Cricetulus griseus: one gene and its partner. The protein of the gene in region 1 interacts with the protein of each later gene in a biochemical or structural test. Links are inferred from orthologs where the notes say so. Each region holds a gene or a part of one and is shown on either strand. Other genes may lie near its edges.

Evidence for each region.
Region 2: the proteins of Ralbp1 (region 1) and Synj2bp form a complex in vitro, tested with the Homo sapiens proteins (2 studies listed by BioGRID and IntAct, with this or other methods). The link is inferred for Cricetulus griseus from reciprocal best matches to the Homo sapiens genes RALBP1 and SYNJ2BP.

What each region holds. Positions count from the first base shown.
Region 1 is NC_048595.1:454,805,018-454,814,766, reverse strand, and holds part of Ralbp1 (ralA-binding protein 1), read left to right. Parts: intron 1-4,175; 5' UTR 4,176-4,228; coding exon 4,229-4,472; intron 4,473-6,176; coding exon 6,177-6,620; intron 6,621-7,859; coding exon 7,860-8,209; intron 8,210-9,459; coding exon 9,460-9,621; intron 9,622-9,749. UniProt on the Homo sapiens protein: Multifunctional protein that functions as a downstream effector of RALA and RALB. As a GTPase-activating protein/GAP can inactivate CDC42 and RAC1 by stimulating their GTPase activity.
Region 2 is NC_048598.1:122,169,548-122,179,970, reverse strand, and holds the start of Synj2bp (synaptojanin-2-binding protein), read right to left. Parts: upstream 5,041-10,423; 5' UTR 4,916-5,040; coding exon 4,852-4,915; intron 1-4,851. UniProt on the Homo sapiens protein: Regulates endocytosis of activin type 2 receptor kinases through the Ral/RALBP1-dependent pathway and may be involved in suppression of activin-induced signal transduction.

The DNA of each region.
Region 1 (9,749 bases):
ACTTAACTGCCTCAAGGCAGGCCTAACAGAGCAGGACCAAATCCCTTGAAACCATGAGATGTAATAAACTTATCTGAAAAGTTGACTTACCTCAAGACTTTGTTATAGTGTGGTGTCTTAGAGTTTCTGTTGCTGCAATAAGATACCATGGCCAAAGAGGAAAGCGTTTATTTCAGTTTATACTTCCAGTTAACAGTCCATCACTGAAGGGAAGTCAGAGCAGGAATTTAAGACAGGAACCAGAGAGCAGGAGCTGATGCAGAGACCATGGAGGAATGCTGCTTCCTGGCTTGCTCCCCATGGCTGGGTAGGCCATCCAGGACCACCTGTGCAGAGTGGGCTGGGCCCTCGCTCATTAAGAAAAGGCACTGCAGGCCTGCCCATTGGGCAAGCGCTAGAAAGGCATCTTCTCAATTGAGAGTTCCTCTTCCCAGATGGCTCTAGCTGGTGTCAGGTTACAGAAAGCTGGCCAACACAGATTGTGTTTTGAAAGAGTTTACCTCTGGGAGAAGAGAAGGGGAGGGGCGTGGAAGAAGAGAAGGGGGGAGCGTGGGAGAAGAGGGGGAGGGGTTTGGGAGAAGAGAGGGGGAGGAGCATGGAAGAAGGCACAGAAGCTTGGGAAATTCACCTGTCTTTAGGTTCTGAACCCACCTGTCTTCCTTCCATAGTCTTTTTGAGAAATCTGCTATCTAGAATTTTTAATTTTCTTGCTAGGAGGAATATCTAATATCTCATTATTCAAATAAAGAAAATACCAGATTTGCTTTTGCATTAGAAAGGGGGATTTCTGAGGCTTGTTATTTATTATCTTGCCTTTGGATATTTATACCTAATTTACTGCATCATACCATTTGAATTCTCCCTTTTCTACTCATCTATAAAGTTCCAGTTGGCTGTGGCTCTCTTCAGCTCAAACACTCATATCTGACTCCCACAGTCCTTCATTTCTGCTCCTAACTGAAGCCCTCTGCAGCTATATTTGAGTTAACAGAAGCCAACACTGGCCCTGTGGTTGCTGTGGAGGCTGGGCAGTCTACAATCAAGGTTCTGGCTTCCCATTCAGCGTCTAGGGCCTGCTGCTGTGTCCTGTAGTGAAAAGTGAGCTCTGAGCTCTTCAGTCCTTCTTGAAGACTCAGATTTCCCTTGCCCTAATGACATAGGCACTTCCAAAACATTGCATCTCCAACACTATCTATCACCTTGGGGATTTTATTTCTATGTCGGGGTTTGGGGGAGACACATTCAGTCCTTAGTATAAATAAATTATTCTTTTTTTTTGTTTTTTTTTTTTTTTGACAGGGTTTCTCTGTGGCTTTGGAGGCTGTCCTGGAACTAGCTCTTGTAGACCAGGCTGGTCTTTTTTTTTTTTTTTTTGTCTTTTTTTAGATTTATTTATTATGTATTCAGTGTTCTGCCTGCATGTAAGCCTGCATACCAGAAGAGGGCACCAGATTTCATTATGGTTGTGAGCCACCATGTAGTTGCTGGGAATTGAACTCAGGACCTTTGGAAGAGCAGGCAATGTTCTTAACCACTGAGCCATCTCTCCAGCCCCACCAGGCTGGTCTTGAACTCACAGAGATCTGCCTGCCTCAGCCTCCCGAGTGCTGGGATTAAAGGCGTGCGCCACCACCGCCCGGCTAAATAAATTATTCTTTGGGGTAGTTTTACAACAGCTGTTGTTTTATGAACAAAACCCTTATTTTTGTCAATTTAGTATGGAAATTTATTAAAAATAACAGTGAGCCAGGATTATATGTAAATATAGGTATAATTTTAAAATACTTTGGAAACATGGGGTTGAATGTCAAAATCTGGCCTTGCATGGGACTGGAGCTGTTGCTCTTGCAGATGACCTGGATTTGGTTTCCAGCAAGCCCTTTGGGTAATTCATAATTGCCTGTAGCTCCAGTTCCAGGAGCTCTGATGGCCTCTTGTGGCCTCCATGGGGACTGCATGCACACTTTCTCACACAGGTATACATCAAATAGATAAATCTTAAAAACAACAACAACAACAAAAAAAACAAAAAACAAAAAACAAAAAACAAGCTGGCATTGTCTGCAGGTCTTCCTGCTCTTAGGCTGTGCTCAGTACGTTTGGGCTTAGCTTTTGTGTGAATTGGTGGACCTGGAGCTTGCTCTCTGACAGCCCTGGCCTCTCGAGTTTGGGGTTACAGGTATGGCCCACTACCCCCTGCCCACCTTTAGCTTCACAAGCTCTGTGCTCGGGCCAGTGTCCTCTGCTATCTCAGAAGGCCCATGTGCTCCTGTTTGTGTTTTTATTTCTCATACTGACCTTTGTACACATGCACCCCGTGTTGTGCAAAGAATGTGTGTTTGATCTTTAGCTGTATGATTTGGGGAAATTACCCTTAGTTTTTCTGTTTGTAAGTAGAAAACCATGAATTTCCCTGTAGCTTTTGCTAAGTGTATTAATATATGAATTCCCCAAATCTGAGGAACTCCTGTAAAGACCCCCCCCAACACACACACCTTTCTTTTTTTCTTTTTTTTTTTTTTTTTTGAATTGGAATTGAAAGTTAAGGGCAAGTTTTGTGGTGTCTTCATTTTAACAGCAGTAACATGTTGGAAACATAATAGTTTATTAAGTAGACATTGAATATTTGGGTTGTGTTAAGCAAACAAGGCAGAAAGATATGTGAGTATATAATTCAAATAGGTGCATTCAGGTTGCCGGGGCCTGGGGGTAGTGGATGGAGTGGCTGACTAGGGAGAGGCCTGGGGAAGGGCTGCAGAGGCTTGCCTTTTGTGGTTTTTTTTTTTTTTTCAAGCTTTATTACGGTCATTTTATATACCATAAACATTACCAAGAGCCAGGTCTGGTGGCCCATGCCTGGTAATCCCAGCACTAGGGAGGCAGAAGCAGGTAGAGCTCAGTAAGTTCAAGGCCAGCCTGGTCTACAAAGCAAGTTCCTGGACAGCCAGGACTGTTAACACAGAGAAACCCTGTCTTGAAAAAAACAAAAAATAAAATAAAAATTAAAAAAAAATCAAAAATGTTTTTGTTGGTTGTTTTTAAGGTCAGGTGTCACTGTACAGCCTGGGCTGACGTTTAACTTGTTTCTCTTTATCCCAGGCTGGCCTTAACCTTGGAAACTACATGGCTCTGACTTCTGAGGATTAGGGTCACAGGTGTGGACCACAGCTTCTAAGTAGCTTTTGAACACAGTACTTTGTGTATACTCTGACTAAAAGGAGAAGCAACCAATTTGAATGCCTCTTATGCTGTCTACTGCAGTGAGACAGTGCACCTCCTATGCAGGGCTGGTTAAATGAGGTTCCTTTGTTTCTTTGGTATAACCGTCACAGAATAGATTTGTTATTCCCACTGTGTGAGCCATTAAAGATTGTTGCCATTGTAAATAGTAGTGATAGATACACATCAGCTGTTCTTGCATAGTTGTATGGCTTTTAGAGTTTGTTATTGATGGTTGCTTGGATGGAGCACAGTTTAAAAATACTAAGGTTTTATGTTGAATAACTGTTAAAATGAAGCCTTTATATTGGTGAGTTCTTTTTAAATTTATTTATTTAAGTATTTATTTATTTAGGTTTTTCGAGACAGGGTTTCTCTCTGTAGCTTTGGAGCCTGTCCTGGAATTCGCTCTGCAGACCACGCTGGTCTCGACCTCACAGAGATCCGCTTGCCTCTGCCTCCTGAGTGCTGGGATTGAAGGCATGCGCCACCAACGCTTGGTTTAAGTAATTTTTTAAAAGACAATGTCTCTAGTGGCTGTCCTGGCACTCACTCTATAGACCAGGCTGGCCTGAGACTCACAGAGATCTGCCTGCCTCAGCCTGAGTGCAGGGATCAAAGGCGTGCGCCACCACTGCATCCAGAGATGTTGTTTCCAAAAGGAGCTCATTATTCCTACTTCTTTGTTTGAGACAGGGGCTCCCTGTGTAGCCCAAAATAGTCTGGGATTTGCGGTGTTGCTTAGGTTGGCCTCAGACATGTAGCTCAGCTTCTGACTGCATGGATTACAGGCATCTGAGTTCTGAGAACTGAGGTATATGACCCCTGGAATGTACCTTGTGATACAAGATGGGGGGGGGGGCTCCTTAGTGAATGCAGGGTTCGTGGCTGAGTGTCCACAGCGGTTCTGATTGTCGGGTGGTGTGTGCTGACTGCAGGCGCCTTCTTCCCTGCAGGTGTGATGGGTAGGTAACAGAGGACAGCTTCCCTTTCCTGCCAGGGCATCAGCATGACCGAGTGCTTCCTGCCCCCCACCAGCAGCCCTAGTGAACACCGCAGGGCGGAGCATGGCAGTGGGCTGACCCGGACCCCCAGCTCTGAGGAGATCAGCCCTACAAAATTTCCTGGATTGTACCGGACGGGTGAGCCCTCGCCTCCTCATGACATCCTCCACGAGCCCCCTGACATAGTGTCGGATGATGAGAAAGACCATGGGAAGAAAAAAGGGAAATTTAAGAAAAAAGAAAAAAGGAGTAAGTACTGATTTTCATTTTATTTAAAAAATTATAACAATTTGTATTAATCTTTGGATATTTCACATCATGTACCCCAGTCCCATTCATTTCCCAGTCCTTCCATGCCCACCTTCCACCCTTGTAGCCTCCTCTCAAAAGTAAATAAAAAATAAAATAAAGTAAGGGGCTGGAGAGATGGCTCAGAGGTTAAGATCAATGGCTGTTCTTCCCAAGGTCCTAAATTCAGTTCCCAGAAACCACATGGTGGCTCACAGCCGCCTGTAATGAGATCTGGTGCCCTCTTCTGACCTGTAGACAGAAGACACTGTATAATAGTAAATAAATCTTTGAAATAAAAAGTAGAAAAGGAGGAAAACAAAGAAACAAAGCTGGTGGACCCCTGGGCAGTGGCCTTCCTGTCGCTGTCAGCCGCGTTCTAATGGCCACTCTGCCCCTCCATCCTTCCTGCATCTCCACCGCACACCATTTGTTCTTCCTAGTGGCCTTGGAAGTTATGACGTATCGCACGGTACACCCTTTTGCCCAAACCGCTTGGCCTGTGAATGTTCTTTGCAATGAGTCCTTAGGTGAGGTCAAAGCCTCTGGCTTCGCTGCAGTGTCAATACTGGACCCTCATAGAGACTCGGCTGTCCTGCTGTCCTGAGTCGTGGGGATCCTGCAGCTATGGGTCAGCTTTACATCATAGTGTTTGCTCTTAAGATTTTTTTGCTTTTGGTCATTCGCAATGGGGTTTCTATGTGTAATCCTGACTGTCCTGGACTGGAGCACCTCCAACTCAGAGATGCCCCTGTCTCTGCTTCCTGAGAGCTTGAGGCTCTTCCAGAACCTCACACCACCATGACTCCAGCTCCAGGGGACCTGATGCCCTCTTCTGGCTGCCATAGGCACGTGTAACACACATTGATGTGAACACACACATAAAATAATAATATGAAAACATTTCCCAGGCACTGTGGTGCACTCCAAGGCAGAGGCAGGCAGATCTGTTTGAGTTGGATGCCAGCTTGGTCTACACAGTGAGTTTCAGGACAGTCAGAGGCATGTCGGACTATAAAGAGACAGCCAGGTGAGCGGTGCACACATGCTTTAGTTGAACTGTTCCCGAGGCTGATGCAGGGTTGTTATCTGTGCTCAGTGAGACTGACTTCATCCTAGAAACAAACGAGAACCAAAGCAAACTGGCAGTTCTCAGTTGGTGTTAAGGCAGTTAGTGTCTTTGTCAGAATGCAGGAATTACTTCTAATGTGTCAGCCAAAGTGAGGGAATAATCACACTCAGCCTTCAGTTTAAAGGGTCTGTGTGCCCCGCTCCAGTTTTCCCAGAAAGGGAGTAATGGGAGGGGGAGCAAAGGTGGCACACACACAAACCAACGTGCTGATCTCAGATGTTCTCGCTTCATGTGTGCCTCCCGTTAGAGGGACAAACAGGCAGGGTAGCTCAGTAGCAGCAGCAGCAGCAATGTTATGTTTCATGAAACATAACATTGCTTTGTGTGTGTTCTTGGTGTCTCAGAACTCTGCTCGCATATGGTGTTACTGAGAGGATAGCTGCTGTCTGCTGCCCTCTTGTGGTTATTGGCTGTCACAGACTTTTTTTGGATGGTTTTCTGGAGGCCCCAGAGGGGAAAGCTGCATTCAGGAAGCATGCGGACAGTTGACTTTGAAAGCATGATTGATTTTATGGACTGCATTTCTTTGGCAGCTGAAGGCTATGCCGCCTTCCAGGAAGACAGCTCTGGAGATGAAGCCGAAAGTCCGTCCAAGATGAAGAGGTCCAAGGGAATCCATGTGTTCAAGAAACCCAGCTTCTCTAAAAAGAAGGAGAAGGATTTTAAAATCAAAGAAAAACCCAAAGAAGAAAAGCACAAGGAGGACAAGCATAAAGAAAAGAAATCTAAAGACTTGACGGCGGCCGACGTCGTTAAACAGTGGAAGGAAAAGAAGAAAAAGAAAAAGCCCATACAGGAGCCCGAGGTGCCTCAGGTCGATGTTCCGAGTCTCAGGCCCATTTTTGGCGTTCCGCTGGCTGATGCGGTCGAGAGGACCATGATGTACGATGGCGTTCGCCTGCCAGCTGTCTTCCGTGAGTGTATAGACTTCATGGAGAAGCATGGCATGAAGTGTGAAGGCGTCTACAGGGTTTCAGGTATCGCAGACACTTCACTTTAATTTCGCTTGCAGCGACGGGGCGGAGTGAAGCGTATGGGCTGTGTCACTTACTGGGGTGGTGTGCCAAGCCTGTCATGTCTTCTCCCTGGGCCCAGTGGTGGGGAGGCTGAGATCTGTTGAAGGAAGCCTCAGCCAAGAGATATGGTTAATGACACAGCCTTGTCCTGTGTTTCCTGAGCCTGACTAGAGATGAGAAGTGTCATTTTCTAAGTAGCTGGGCCCTGAATGTGAATGCTGTGTCAGGTGTACACAGTTACTGCAGATGTCAACGAAACTGGTGACCCCTTCATCTACAGAGCTTATGTGACCATTGTAGTTCATACTTGGTCAGAATGTGTTTCATATTGGATATCTAAAATCTAGCAACCTGTACATTATTTAGAAGTACAGAGATTTCTTCCTTCAAAAGCAGCACGAGTTTTGTGCTAACCTGGGGTTCAGGTCCCAAGCTGGGCAGTGTCTGCACCAGCCATTCTGTTGCGTAGAAGGTTACTTTTGTGCTGCCCTTTGACCACACGTCTCTTCATGGGGCAGGAGAGTCATACATGTCTAGAACAAAGAGAAATATTAAGCAAATTTTCCACTTAATTGGTTCATATTCTTTCCAGCAGATAGATTTGATGTTTGGGATAACATTTAATATGACCCAGTAGATAAAATGCTGCATTGCTACTATTCTATAGAAAGTAAAACACACAGTGCATTTAAGTTTGTAATTCCTTACTTCCATATAAAGTTAAACACAAAGTTGTAAATATGATTTCTAAGTATTTATTATGTATTGAAATGTTTTAAAGGTTTACACAGGTATAGAAGCTATTTCCCACATGATCTGAAGACATTTTTTGGGGGTGCAAGTTTCTCTGAAAATTTTCTGTAGCTTTGCTCAAAGAGTCTTTTGTTTCTGATCTGTCTTTGATACTTGCATCTTTTGGAGAATCCCTCATTCCTGATGGATTGTCTCTTGTCTGTGAGGGCTCCGTGGGGGAGGTCTCCTGCTGATGGCTTGCATGTGTACTCTTTCATCTGTGACAGTGTGTCTCCTCTCTGCCCGCATTGTTATGTAGCCCAGGCTGGCCTTAACCAGGCAGTAGTCCTCTTGCCTCAGCCTCTGAGTGCTGAGTTACAGCTGTGAGCCACATTACTAGCTGGCCCCGATTCTCTGCAGCATGTCTGATTTCTTCTGTTCTCTCTCTTGTCAATTTCATGTTTTTAGGAATCAAATCAAAGGTAGATGAGCTAAAAGCAGCCTATGACCGGGAGGAGTCTCCAAACTTGGAAGAGTATGAACCTAACACTGTAGCCAGTCTGCTGAAGCAGTATTTGCGAGACCTTCCGGAGAATTTGCTTACCAAAGAGCTTATGCCGCGTTTCGAAGAGGCTTGTGGGAGGGCCACGGAGACAGAGAAAGTGCAGGAATTTCAGCGCTTGCTCAAGGAGCTGCCTGAGTGTAACCACCTTCTGATTTCCTGGCTCATTGTACACATGGACCATGTGATTGCAAAGGAGCTGGAGACGAAGATGAATATCCAGAACATCTCCATAGTGCTTAGCCCAACCGTCCAGGTATGCGTTCTGGCTACACACCCCTTTTGTACTGACACAGGGAAATTAGCAGGAGTCTGATGCTGAGCTGCGTGTGAAACGGTGAATCCAAGAAGGCAAATAATGGACAAGCCTGGCATACATATCTGGCATCCTTTTGTATATGTGCGTTCAAGTTCCTATGTGGGACTTAACGTGTGTGTGTGTGTGTGTGTGTGTGTGTGTGTGTGTGGCTGTACGTGTCGATGTGTGCATATTTGTGTGGAGGTTGTAGGACAAACTCGAGTATTGTTCTTAAACACCAACCATCCACCTTTTTTCCCCACTGGCTGGCCAGCAAGCTGCAGGGACCTTCCTGTCCCTGCCTCCCAGCACTGGGATTACAACTGTGCACTGCCATGTCCCCGTGGATTATGGAGGTTGAACTTGGGCCTCCTGGCCTGCACGATAGATACTTTAGTGACCAAGCCACCTTCCTGGCCTCCGCCTCCTGTCTCTCCATCACTGCTCAGTGATGCTATCAAAGACTGAGTTTGCCTTTACAGTAAGGACACTTTTCTGTGTCAAAAGAATGAAGGAGACAGTAGCTCTAATTTTTGTTTTGTTTTTGGAGACAGGGTTTCTCTGTGTAGCCCTGGCTGTCCTGGAACTCACAGAGATCCACCTGCTTCTGTCTCCTGAGTACTAGATTAAAGGCGTGCGCCACCATCACCAGGGGAAACAACTGTTTCTTAAATTTCTCAGATATCATTTTTGTTAGCCTGGGTTTCAGAATTTGCTCAATACTATGTTGTTACTCAACATTGCCATAAGGTGGATGCCTGGGCCACAGAAGCTCCAGGGGGATTGTAAGAGAAAGTTTGAGCAAGGAAAACATGTCTTTTTTTAGTTGTTGAGCCATCCTGCAGTACTGGCTTCCTAGCCTGGGAAGCCATGGAACACTGGTGCATGTGTGCACCAGAAGAAGGGGCTCCACCTCCTCCTGTATTCAGAGAGCTCTCAGAATACGATGGAAATGGTTATTAGACACTGCTAATTGATGGTAATATTTTGTACCCTGCACGGGCTTTCCCCCTTATGGTGCTTGAGTACATGTTTAAGCCAGGCTTTCCTATTTCCTTCTTAGTTGATGGTTAGTTAGTAGCCCGTTTTGTCCCTGCTTCAGAGACTTCCTTCCTCTGTACAGGGTTAATAAAGGATGTGCTGTGACTGGTGCAGGTGGAGTAAAGACTGCCCAGCAGTTTTTTAAACTCTGAACCTGTTTTCTGCAGATCAGCAACCGTGTCCTGTATGTGCTCTTCACACACGTGCAAGAGCTCTTTGGCACTGTGGTCCTAAAGCAAGTGACAAGACCTCTGCGTTGGTCCAACATGGCAACGATGCCCACACTGCCAGAGACCCAGGCAGGCATCAAGGAAGAGATCAGGAGACAGGTGTGTACTTGGCCCCGCCTTGACCCCGTCCCTCTCCTTACTCTCCCTGCCTGCTTCTGTGCTGGCCACAGGGAGGAGCTGTGGTCAGGAGGCGATGAGCTCCTGCCTCTACCTCTTGATGCAGAGGT
Region 2 (10,423 bases), on another chromosome or scaffold:
AATCAACTTCTTAGGTACTGTGGTGGGAGGAAATATCTGGTACAGTAGAATCAACAGGTCTAGAGTAGAATCTTCTGAATCTTACTGGTCTTAGCTCTTGGGCAAGTCTTTAACTTCTCAGATAACTTCTCAATCCAATAGTATAGATTAAATACCTATCATTTAGTGGTTCTATAAGAACTAAAATAAGTCTATGTGACTATAAACAGAGACTTATTTAGCCAGGACAAAATATAAAATACAAGTACAAAATATATAGCAATTAGCACACTTCCAGAAAGATACTTTCTTACTTATTCTTTATTAAAGTATTGTGTTAACTATCCTTTCCTTTGAAAGGCCTCTAAAGACTGTAAGGAAATGGACTGTTTCTTCCTCCCTTTCTAAAGATAGCAGATTGCAAGTAACTTGTTGAAACCCACTGAGCCCTTATGTCTGAATAGTGGACCCCAATATTACTCAGTTGCAGTAGAACTGCCTTTGCACTCAATCTCTGGTACAGAAAATAAAAGTTAGATTAGTCTTGTCATGTTGCTTAGAGCAATGAATCTGCACAACTTGGGATTTCTAGATTTCTAGATGTTATATAGGAAAAAGTGAGATCCTTCAAGTACAACCAAGCTGAACTTGTTCGTAAAGGATAAAAATGAACTGTTCAACCTTTGAAACATAAGATTATGACTACTGCCTTTAATAATTCTTTAGATCACCAGCCAATCAAAAACTGGCAGAAACTTGGGGACCAGAGAGAAGCTCAGCAGTTAAGCATTTGCTGCTATTGCAAGGACCTGGGTTCATTTCCCAGTACCCACTCAGATAGCTCACAACTACCTATAATTTTAGTTCCAGACTTTTAGCACTCTCTCTGGCTTCTGTGAATGCCAGGCACATATATGGTATACATACTAATACAGGCAAAACACTCATACAGATAAAAATTTTAAACATCTTTTTAAAAATGATAGAAATCATTTAAAATAACATGAGAAATGAGCCCAAGTACAAAAGCAAACAGTCTTCTGAAGTCAAAGACTGCCAAGACATTCCTTACAATGATGAGGAAGTAAGCACAGGACAAAGGTCACACTACATGCCATTTCCTTTTCACTCCTTGGACAGTCATTTCATTGTTGTGATTTTCCTATGACTGTGGGTTTGTTTGTCTCTTTTTTCAGTAGGTTCAATTGCTTTACAAAACTGCAAATATCCAAGATTCGTTTCTGACACTACTCTGGCTCAAAAAAGTAATCATACACATATTCACCCAATTAAACCAGACAATGCTGCCTATATACAGAATTGTATACTTAGAACCAGAGGCTTCTCATATTTCTCCTGTAGACAGAAAGACTCCTATGCCACTACCAAAATTACCCCCAAGTTTTTAGTGGTAATGGCTGGCTTCTTCCCTGTGTATCTTCGTGATGTCACCATGAAGACCCTGAGACCTGTGTGTATCTTCATGATGTCACCATGAAAGCTCTGGGAAGTGGTAAACCTTTCCTCATTTACTGAATGAACAAATTTCCAATGATTGTTTTTTGACAAATTCAATCCTAAATTAGTAATTACTTTTTCCTAGAAGTTCATGATTTGCATCAATGTGATGGTTAATCTTGGGTTTGCAATTTGACTGGATCTGGAATCAATTAAGAGACTAGCCATAAACAAACATATAAGGAATTTTCTGGATCAGGTTATTTCAAGTGGAAAGACCCACCCTAAACTGTAGGCGATACCATGGATATGCAGTCCAGGTGGAAAGCTTGCTTTTTAAAGCTTTAGTTCCTTCACACTTCCTTGGTAAGTTTAATCACCCAGTTGCTTGAGTCCATTTATCCTACTGCTGCTGCCTAGTTGCTACAACATTTCTTCCCTGCTATCAGAACCCAGTGTCTTGGGGCTTCCAATATGGACTAAAAGCCAGTGGCTCTCCAGAAATCCTCCAGATCTTCAGCAACAGGTTGGATCTGCTGAGGCATTCAACCTCATGGGCTGAGTAACTACCAGGTTCTCAACCTCCTCACTGTTGGACTACTTAGACCCATCTAATAAATCTCCTTTTAATATACATACTCATTCTATTGATTCTAGTCCTCTACACTTATGAAAGTTCCAGAAGCCACTCAATGGATAAATTCATTCTCTATTTTTTAAAGAAATAACTACAACACAGAAATTAAACTGCTTTGTGTAAGAGCATGTTAATTAGATATAATTTAATCTCTTATTTAGTCTCTGGGCACTTTCCCTAGCTCTAATGCTTGATGGAAATACTAAGAGTAGAAACTTTAGATCTGTAAGAAAATTGCTTAGAAATTAGACAATGCCCATTAAAATGCCCAGAGGTTCAAACAGTGATATTATGTTGAATTTAGTGCTTAAACAAGAATAATAATATCAGGAATCTGCTCTCATCGGAAGACCCTGGAAATACTGTAATACCACTGCAAAGAGACTATATCATTAGGTCCTTACCATTAGGCAAAAAACAACCTCAAACATCATAAAAAGTAGTATCATGCAAGTATATTTAAAGAACTAGATGTCATTATGTACTTGCAAAGCAATCAGAAAGGTGTATCTCAACTGATCCTAAGAAGAGAAGATGAAAAGTACACACAAAAAAATGGACTTTTATTTAAAGATCTGAGGCTGCTGAGTGAGATGGCTCAGTGGGCACAAGCACTTGCCACCAACTCTGACAACCTGAGTTCAATCCCTGGGACCCACATGATAGAAGGAAAAAACTGACTCCTGAAAGTTGTCCTCTGAGTTCTACAGGCCTCCTTGCCCCTCACACAAATAACTAAATAAATGCAATAAAAATTCAATTTCTACCATGCTAGCCTAAAAAGTAAATAAATATTGAGAGAATAGTTTTCTAAAATAGGACAAATTCAAACACTTGAGCATATTGAAAAGTCTTTGAGCAAAAGTTTTTGAGTTTATCTTAGGTTTTCTATTGCTATGACAAAACACTGTAACACAAGCAACTAAGGGATGAAGTGATTTATTTAATCTTACACTTTCAGGTAACATTCCATCATAAAGAGAACTCCATCAGGAGCCTGGACGTAGCAACTACAGTAGCGCTACTTACTGGCTTGCTCATCCTGCTTCCTTACAATCTAGGACCACGTGCCCAGGGTGGCACTGCCCACCGTGAGCTGATCATCAAACATCAATATCAATCAAGAAAATGCTCCACAGGCCTGCCTACGGGCAATCTGATAGAGGTATTTTCTCAATTGAGGTTCCTTTTCCCAGATAACTCTATCTTCTGCCAAGTTGACAAATGAAATAAAAAATAAAATCAACCAGCACTGAGCTTCTGTATAAACCACAAAGATTAGCAGTGTGTTACTCCCATAAATAAGACCAACTTCCAATTTTCTCCCAACAGGAAGACAAAAAGTATGACTAATTCTGAAAGTTGTGTTTTATACAGAACACTCTATCAGTAGTGATTAAGTTATTGCAAACTTCCAGATGAGAAAAGTTGACAGAATATTCTAAGTAGAATAAAAATCCACAGTAACCAATGATTTATTCAACTCTTGGAATACTGTATTTAGCAGAACTTACTGGGGTCAGTCTAACCATTCATTCACTAATGATAACAATAATAGCAAATACACATTGCTTACCATATGTCAAGACAATGTTCTAAATATTTCTCAGGGCGTAACTGGCTTCATCCTAACACTATATGTCAAACACAATGCACTTCATAACCATCTCCACTCTACAGACAAGAACCTATAGCATACATCAGTTAAATTACTCTGCCAATGAATTAAAACCAACCAGACAGACTGACAGACAAACTGGTAAGTTGTTAGATAAAAACTTGGCCATAAGTAGTTAACCCTAAACCTAAAAATAGTCCAAGGGAGACAACAGCACTATGTAGTCATGTTTAAAGGCCAGTCTGGCGCCGGGCGGTGGTGGCGCATGCCTTTAATCCCAGCACTCGGGAGGCAGAGGCAGGCGGATCTCTGTGAGTTCAAGGCCAGCCTGGTCTCCAGAGCGAGTGCTAGGATAGGTTCCAAAGCTACACAGAGAAACCCTGTCTCGAAAAACCAAAACAATAATAATAATAATAATAATAATAATAATAATAATAATAATAATAATAATGCCAGTCTGGCCATGAGCAGCGGTGAGGAAGACACAGCAGGGCTGAGTGGGAATTTTCCTGTCAGAATCACATTTAGTATTTAAAGAATTGTTTAATCCATACTGAATCCATATCCCTAAAAATGAAACTAGAAAATAGCCTTTTCGTTTTAATTCATTATAAAAAAAAATGTAAAAACAAAACAAGCCCAAGTAATTCTGGGGTGGCGCTAGGTCTGGAAACTTCTGTAGTGGGTATCCTCCTGCTTTAGCATTCCAGTTGACACTGTAAACTAATTTCCCAGAAATGCAGACAGGGACCCTAGCACCAGGGAAATTGCTATGCATTCAGAAAACCACGCCGTTTACCGCTCTCGTTTTTACCTGAACGGGCCCTCATATAAACAAGGATGATCCAGGCAACTGAATAACGGATGTGGCGTCCACTACAGGCTGTCTAAGCAGCGGCCGTTCGTCTAGACTTTTCTATTACTACCAGCAAACAGAAACCCTTCCTGGCCCTAAATGCCTGCGGCACTTTCCCTGGGTTGTGAGGCCGAGTCCCAGGGTCCGTTATCTAGCTAACAAAGGATGCCAATGGGCTCTTTCGTCGTGCCCGACGGCGTTCTTGGAAGCAACTTGGTCGGGCCGGCCTGCTCTCCAGCCAGTAAACCTGGCTCCGCAAAACCAACGAGCTCAGCAATGACTCCCTCCACGTCCCGCGCCTACCCGAGGGTCCTCTCGTCAGGTTGATCTCTTCCTCCGTAACTATATAATCCACCCGTCCGTTCATGTCTGACGGCTCACCGGGCGGAAGCCCGGGGTCAGCTGGAGCTCCGCGCAGGTGAAGGTGAATCAAGCTCCGCGCCGCGTCCCCAGCATAGCTTTTACAGTTTCCTAAGCCGCCGGACCGGAAGAGGAAACCGCGGGCACTGGGAGCGCCAAGGATGCTGGGAGTGGTGGTTCTCCGCGCCCACCAGCGTTTTCCGTTACCTCGCCCCATTCCCAAGGCAGATCCTGGGGTGCCATGAGTAAGGCACAATGCTCACCTACCTTGGGAAAGCATGTGGGAAGGAGGGCACGGAAAGAGGGTAATAAAGTTATGGTTCGTAATTAGATTGATACTGTTGATATTTTAAATAAAATCTCAAAATATCCACAAATGTAAAAAAAAAAAAAAAAAAAACAGGAGGATTTTATCTTATGAGCTTCAAACCATACTGGGAAAGGCATCACGGGCAAACTACTGGTGAGATTGCATATTTGGGCAGAAAGTTGTACCTTTTCCTTTTGTGTGACGTGGGTACAGCCCAATACATCCATGCCCCGTGTAAAAGAACTTGATAACACTGTGTCATGTTCATTCGCTGGCAGTTCACTCTGTGTTAATATAATTTATCTACAGGGGGAAAAAATACAACCTATCTCCCTCCCTCCCCCACCTCGTGTGTGTGTGTGTGTGTGTGTGTGTGTGTGTGTGTGTGTGTGTGTGTGTGTGTAGTGTTCACTGCTTAAAGCAAGGCACCTACACTGACACACATGACAGGAAACTGGAGCACCATACGACTGACAAGACACTTTGTTTAAAGTATTTGCTGCAATATATTCCTGGTTTGTGTCTTTAGCAGGCTTATCTAACTTAAGAAATGTGTATACATACAAAGATACAGAGAAGGGATTAATTAAATTATAGGCTTACTCAAGAAAAATACTCCAAAGCAGGGGTGGAGGGTGTGGAGGTGGGGGTGGAAATGTCATTTTTTTGACAAGATGATTGCAGGACTTAAGATGTGACATTCCTAGCCCTCTTGACTTTTGAAATAGGACATTCCAAACAGGTTGAAGGAATTTTCAAACATCAAAAGATAAAAAAAAAGCCTTAGGAACCAGGAAGGTGACCATAAATGTATATAGGGTGAAAAAAGGGATTGGTTACTGGAGATGTTAGAGAATTGAAGAGTGAATATCACCATAAAGGTATTCTACCTTACAGTTAAAAATCGAGCCAGCAACCACTGTTAATTAATCAAAACAAGTCAGAAGTGGATTCTATATGAATGAGACAGGATGGGAAGACAGGGAACCTATGAGACATGGGAGGGGCATCATCTCAGAGTCTGAGTAAAACCTCTTGCCAGATGAGCAAGGACTCTATCATAATTAACATTTGCTGCAAAGGCTACTGACATGTAATTAACATTTATTTTCTGCATAGATATTGTATGAAAAATTGGCAATGGCCTAAGCTTCAGATCTCAGTTTGTATGGCCCTGGGCAGGGCCTCATTTCTTTGTCTAGAAATTGCTTGAGAATCTCAAACCAAATGTAACTTTGTCTACAGAAATATATCCTACCCTCCTTTATGTTTGTAGGACTACACCCCTACTCTGTCGACTGTAATCCTGTCAGGTGACCCTTTACAACCACACAGTAGTAAGATAGTAACTTCAAACTGCACATAAACCTCACACATGACTCCTGCAAAAGCAATGAACACACATGCTTCTGAGAAGCCCATATCCATTCTCTCCACTGTGCCTTATTTTCTTCTGAGTGTGTCATTTCCTAATCCTCATCATGAGCATGAATTAAAATTACTTTAATAAAACTGTCACCTCTGCTATTAAACTGGCTGTCCTTGAAATTGATTTTCATTATCAAAGCCATGAATTCTGGTCTGGCCCAAGCTGAGTCCTTAACATTCTAGGGAACTGTTTGGGTTGCTGAGGGTGACATTAGGGGTCTGTACCTCCTTCACATCTACTCCCAAACACTGACAAGATGATCTCTAATTCATTCACCCAAACAAAACATGAAGGATGGAAAAAACAAAGACGATGCCAACTAGCCTTACCTCAGCATTCAGTTACCACTCTTCCACTTAGCTGATTTAAAGAAGAAATCTAACATCTCCAAACTCTGTTTCTCCATCTCTAAAAGGAAGTGATAATAGCTTCTTAAACTTTGTTTGAATGATTCAATTAAGTGAATTTTCTTTTCTTTTGGGGGGGGATTTGGTTTTTCAGTTTTGGTTTTAGAAGATGGGTTTCTCTGGGTAGCACTGGCTGTCCTGGAACTTAGTCCTTAGAGCATGCTGGCCTCAAAATCAGAGATCTGCCTGCTTCTGCCTCCTGGGTGTTGGGATTAAAGGCATGCACCACCACTGCCAAGCTCTAAAGTGAAAATTTCAAAATTATGTTTATACTCTTAAAACTCAATCAGATTGATTACCTTACTTGTAACATTCATTCCTCCACATACTTTCATAAGATGAGAGGATAAAGGGAATAAAATGATCATGAGGCAATTAAAATTGAAAAAAAGATACAAATAAGTGATACTGGAATGTCAAAAGATAAGAGATCAACTAAAAATTGGGAAAGGATCAAAATTCTCCGAAATTCTCAGGGGATCAATAAAAAATGTTTTTGATGCCTGGCGTTGGTGGCACACACCTTTAATCCAGCACCCGGGAGGCAGAGGCAGGCAGATCTCTCTGAGTTCAAGGCCAGCCTGGTCTCCAGAGCGAGTGCCAGAATAGGCTCCAAAGCTACACAGAGAAACCTTGTTTCGGAAAACCAAAAAAAAAAATGTTTTTGAAAAGAGAAAAGATGAGATCAGGTGCGTTCAGGGTGATATGGCCCTAGGCATATACCCCAAAGAAGCACATTCATACAAGGACATCTGTTCAGCTATGTTTATAGCAGCATTATTTGTAATAGCCAGAACCTGAAACCAACCGAGATGCCCTTCAACTGAAGAATGGATAGAGAAAATGTGGTACATTTACACAATGGAGTACTACTCAGCGGAAAAAAACAATGGGATATTGAAATTCGCAGGCAAATGGATGGAACTAGAAGAAACCATCCTGAGTGAAGGTAACCCAGTCACAAAAAGACAAACATGGTATGCACTCACTCATATATGGATTTCGCACATAGAGCAAAGGATTGCCAGCCTATAATCCACACCACCAGAGAAGCTAGGAAACAAGGAGGACCCTAAGAGAGACATACATGGTCCCCTGTAGAAGGGGAAAGGGACAAGATCTCCTGAGCAAATTGGGAGCATGGGGGAGGGGAGAGGGAGCTAGGAGAATGAGAAGGGGAGAAGAGGAGGGATGGGGAGGACATAAGGGAGCAGGAAGGTTGTGTAGGGGGAAGAATAGAGGAGAGCAAAATAAGAGATACCATAAGAGAGGGAGCCATTTATAGGTTTAAAGAGAAATTGGGCACTAGGGAAATGCCCAGAGATCTACTAGGATGACACCAACTAACCATCTAAGCAACAGAGGGGAGGCAACCTTAAATGCCCTCCCCTGATAATGAGATTGATGACTGTCTTATATGCCATCCTAGAGCCTTCATCCAGCAGCTGATGGAAGTAGAAGCAGACACTCACAGCTAAACACTGAACTGAACTGGAATCCAGTTGCAGAGAAGGAGGAGCGACGAGCAAAGGAGTCAAGACCAGGCTGGTGAAACCCACAGAAACAGCTGACCTGAATAAGGGGGTGCTCTTGGTCCCCCGACTGATCAGTGGGAAACCAGCATAGAACTGATCCAGATCCCATGAATGTGGGTGTCAGTGAGGAGGCCTGGAAAATCTATGGGGCTTCTTGTAGTAGATCAGTACTTACCCATAGCATAGGAATGGACTTTGGGAGCCCATTCCACATAGAGGGATATTCCCTCAGCCTAGACACACGGGGGAGGGCCTAGGCCCTATCAAAAAGGATATGACAGACTCTGAAAACCCCCATAGAAGGCCTCATCCTCCCTGGGGAGCAGAAATGGTATGGAATAGGTAGGGTGTTATTGGGGGGCAGGGGAGAAGGGGAGAGAGAGGGAACTGGGATTGACATGTAAAACAATCTTGTTTCTAATTTAAATTAAAAAATAAAATTAAAGTAAAAAGAAATCAAGATGTTACCAATGAGGAGATTTGGAATGCAAAAAAAAAAAATCCCACAAAGTTTCTTGCAGACTGGGATAAAACCACAATTCTGTACTGAGAATATCACTCTTTTTACTTGAGCACACATCTTCAAAAGAAACACATAAGGCAGTGAACTCATTTACAAAAGTCACTAAATGAGTTCAAGAAATGGTAATAAAATGTGGAGTGACAGCTGGTAGTGTAACTTGCCTTTATTCCCTAATAAAGTACAGTGTTTAAGAGAGAAAGCTTAATATGTAAGAAGCCAAAAATAGGAAACAGAAGCTCCTATTCAGAGAAAAGAATGGCATCAGGAGTGGCAGCAGCATTTGAATTGGAGACTAGAGAATGAAACAGAGTCTGCATGATGACACTGACAAAATGGGCTACAGACAGATCACAAAGCAAGCCTAGCATAGAGGTATGCACCTAATTTTATATGCAAGTATAATTTTATTTCTCCCATAATAAGGAACTATAAATAGAGGTGGTCCAGGGCCGATGAGCAGGCAATATTTGGGAGTCAGGTTTTTCTATCCTTCTATTCCACACTGAGCCCCAATTCCTGGAATGTGTTCTTAATAATCATGGTCAAACATAATTAAAATGGTTTACGTGCTTTGGTTTCTTGGTTTGTTTGTTTGTCTTCAGACAGGTTTTCTTTGTGTAGCCCTGGCTGTCCTGGAACTAATTATGTAGAACATAGTGGCCTGGAACTCACACAGATCCATCTGCCTCTGCCTCCTGAGTGCTGAAATTAAAGGCTTGTGACACCACACCCAGTTGTTTGTTTTTTATTGGGAGGTGTGTGTGTGTGTGTGTGTGTGTGTGTGTGTGTGTGTGTGTGTGTGTGTACCAATCTTCTCAAAAAGAAGCTGTATAAAGTACAATATGGCCAAATTAGATGGAAGAGATAATAAAATGATGTTAATGGAAAACATGTTGAAATACAATTTAAAAAGCTTTTAGAACAGCATGTTTAAATATCTAGGAAAGGAGCTGAGCCATGGCTAGTATGGAGAAGTGCCAATAAGATTGCCCTTTTTGCATTCCTGATTCATGTATTCACAATGAATGGGAAGGACTGCCATGTCAATATGACCATCAGTGAAGGATGGAGAAGTAAAGAAGGGGAACATGAGAGATTAGGACCTCTTAAGGCCTCATCCAAGACTTTACCATTCCTTCCTTGCATATTTCTACTTTGGAAGGCAGCTTACTTCATCATAATCATTGTTGCTAAGACCAATATAGCATAGTGTGCCTCATAAGAGGGTAGCATTCTGGCCCATAAGTTTAGCATTGTCCAGTAGTCTATTATTATGTCCATACTTTGGAACCAGAGACCAAGATTTTTTTC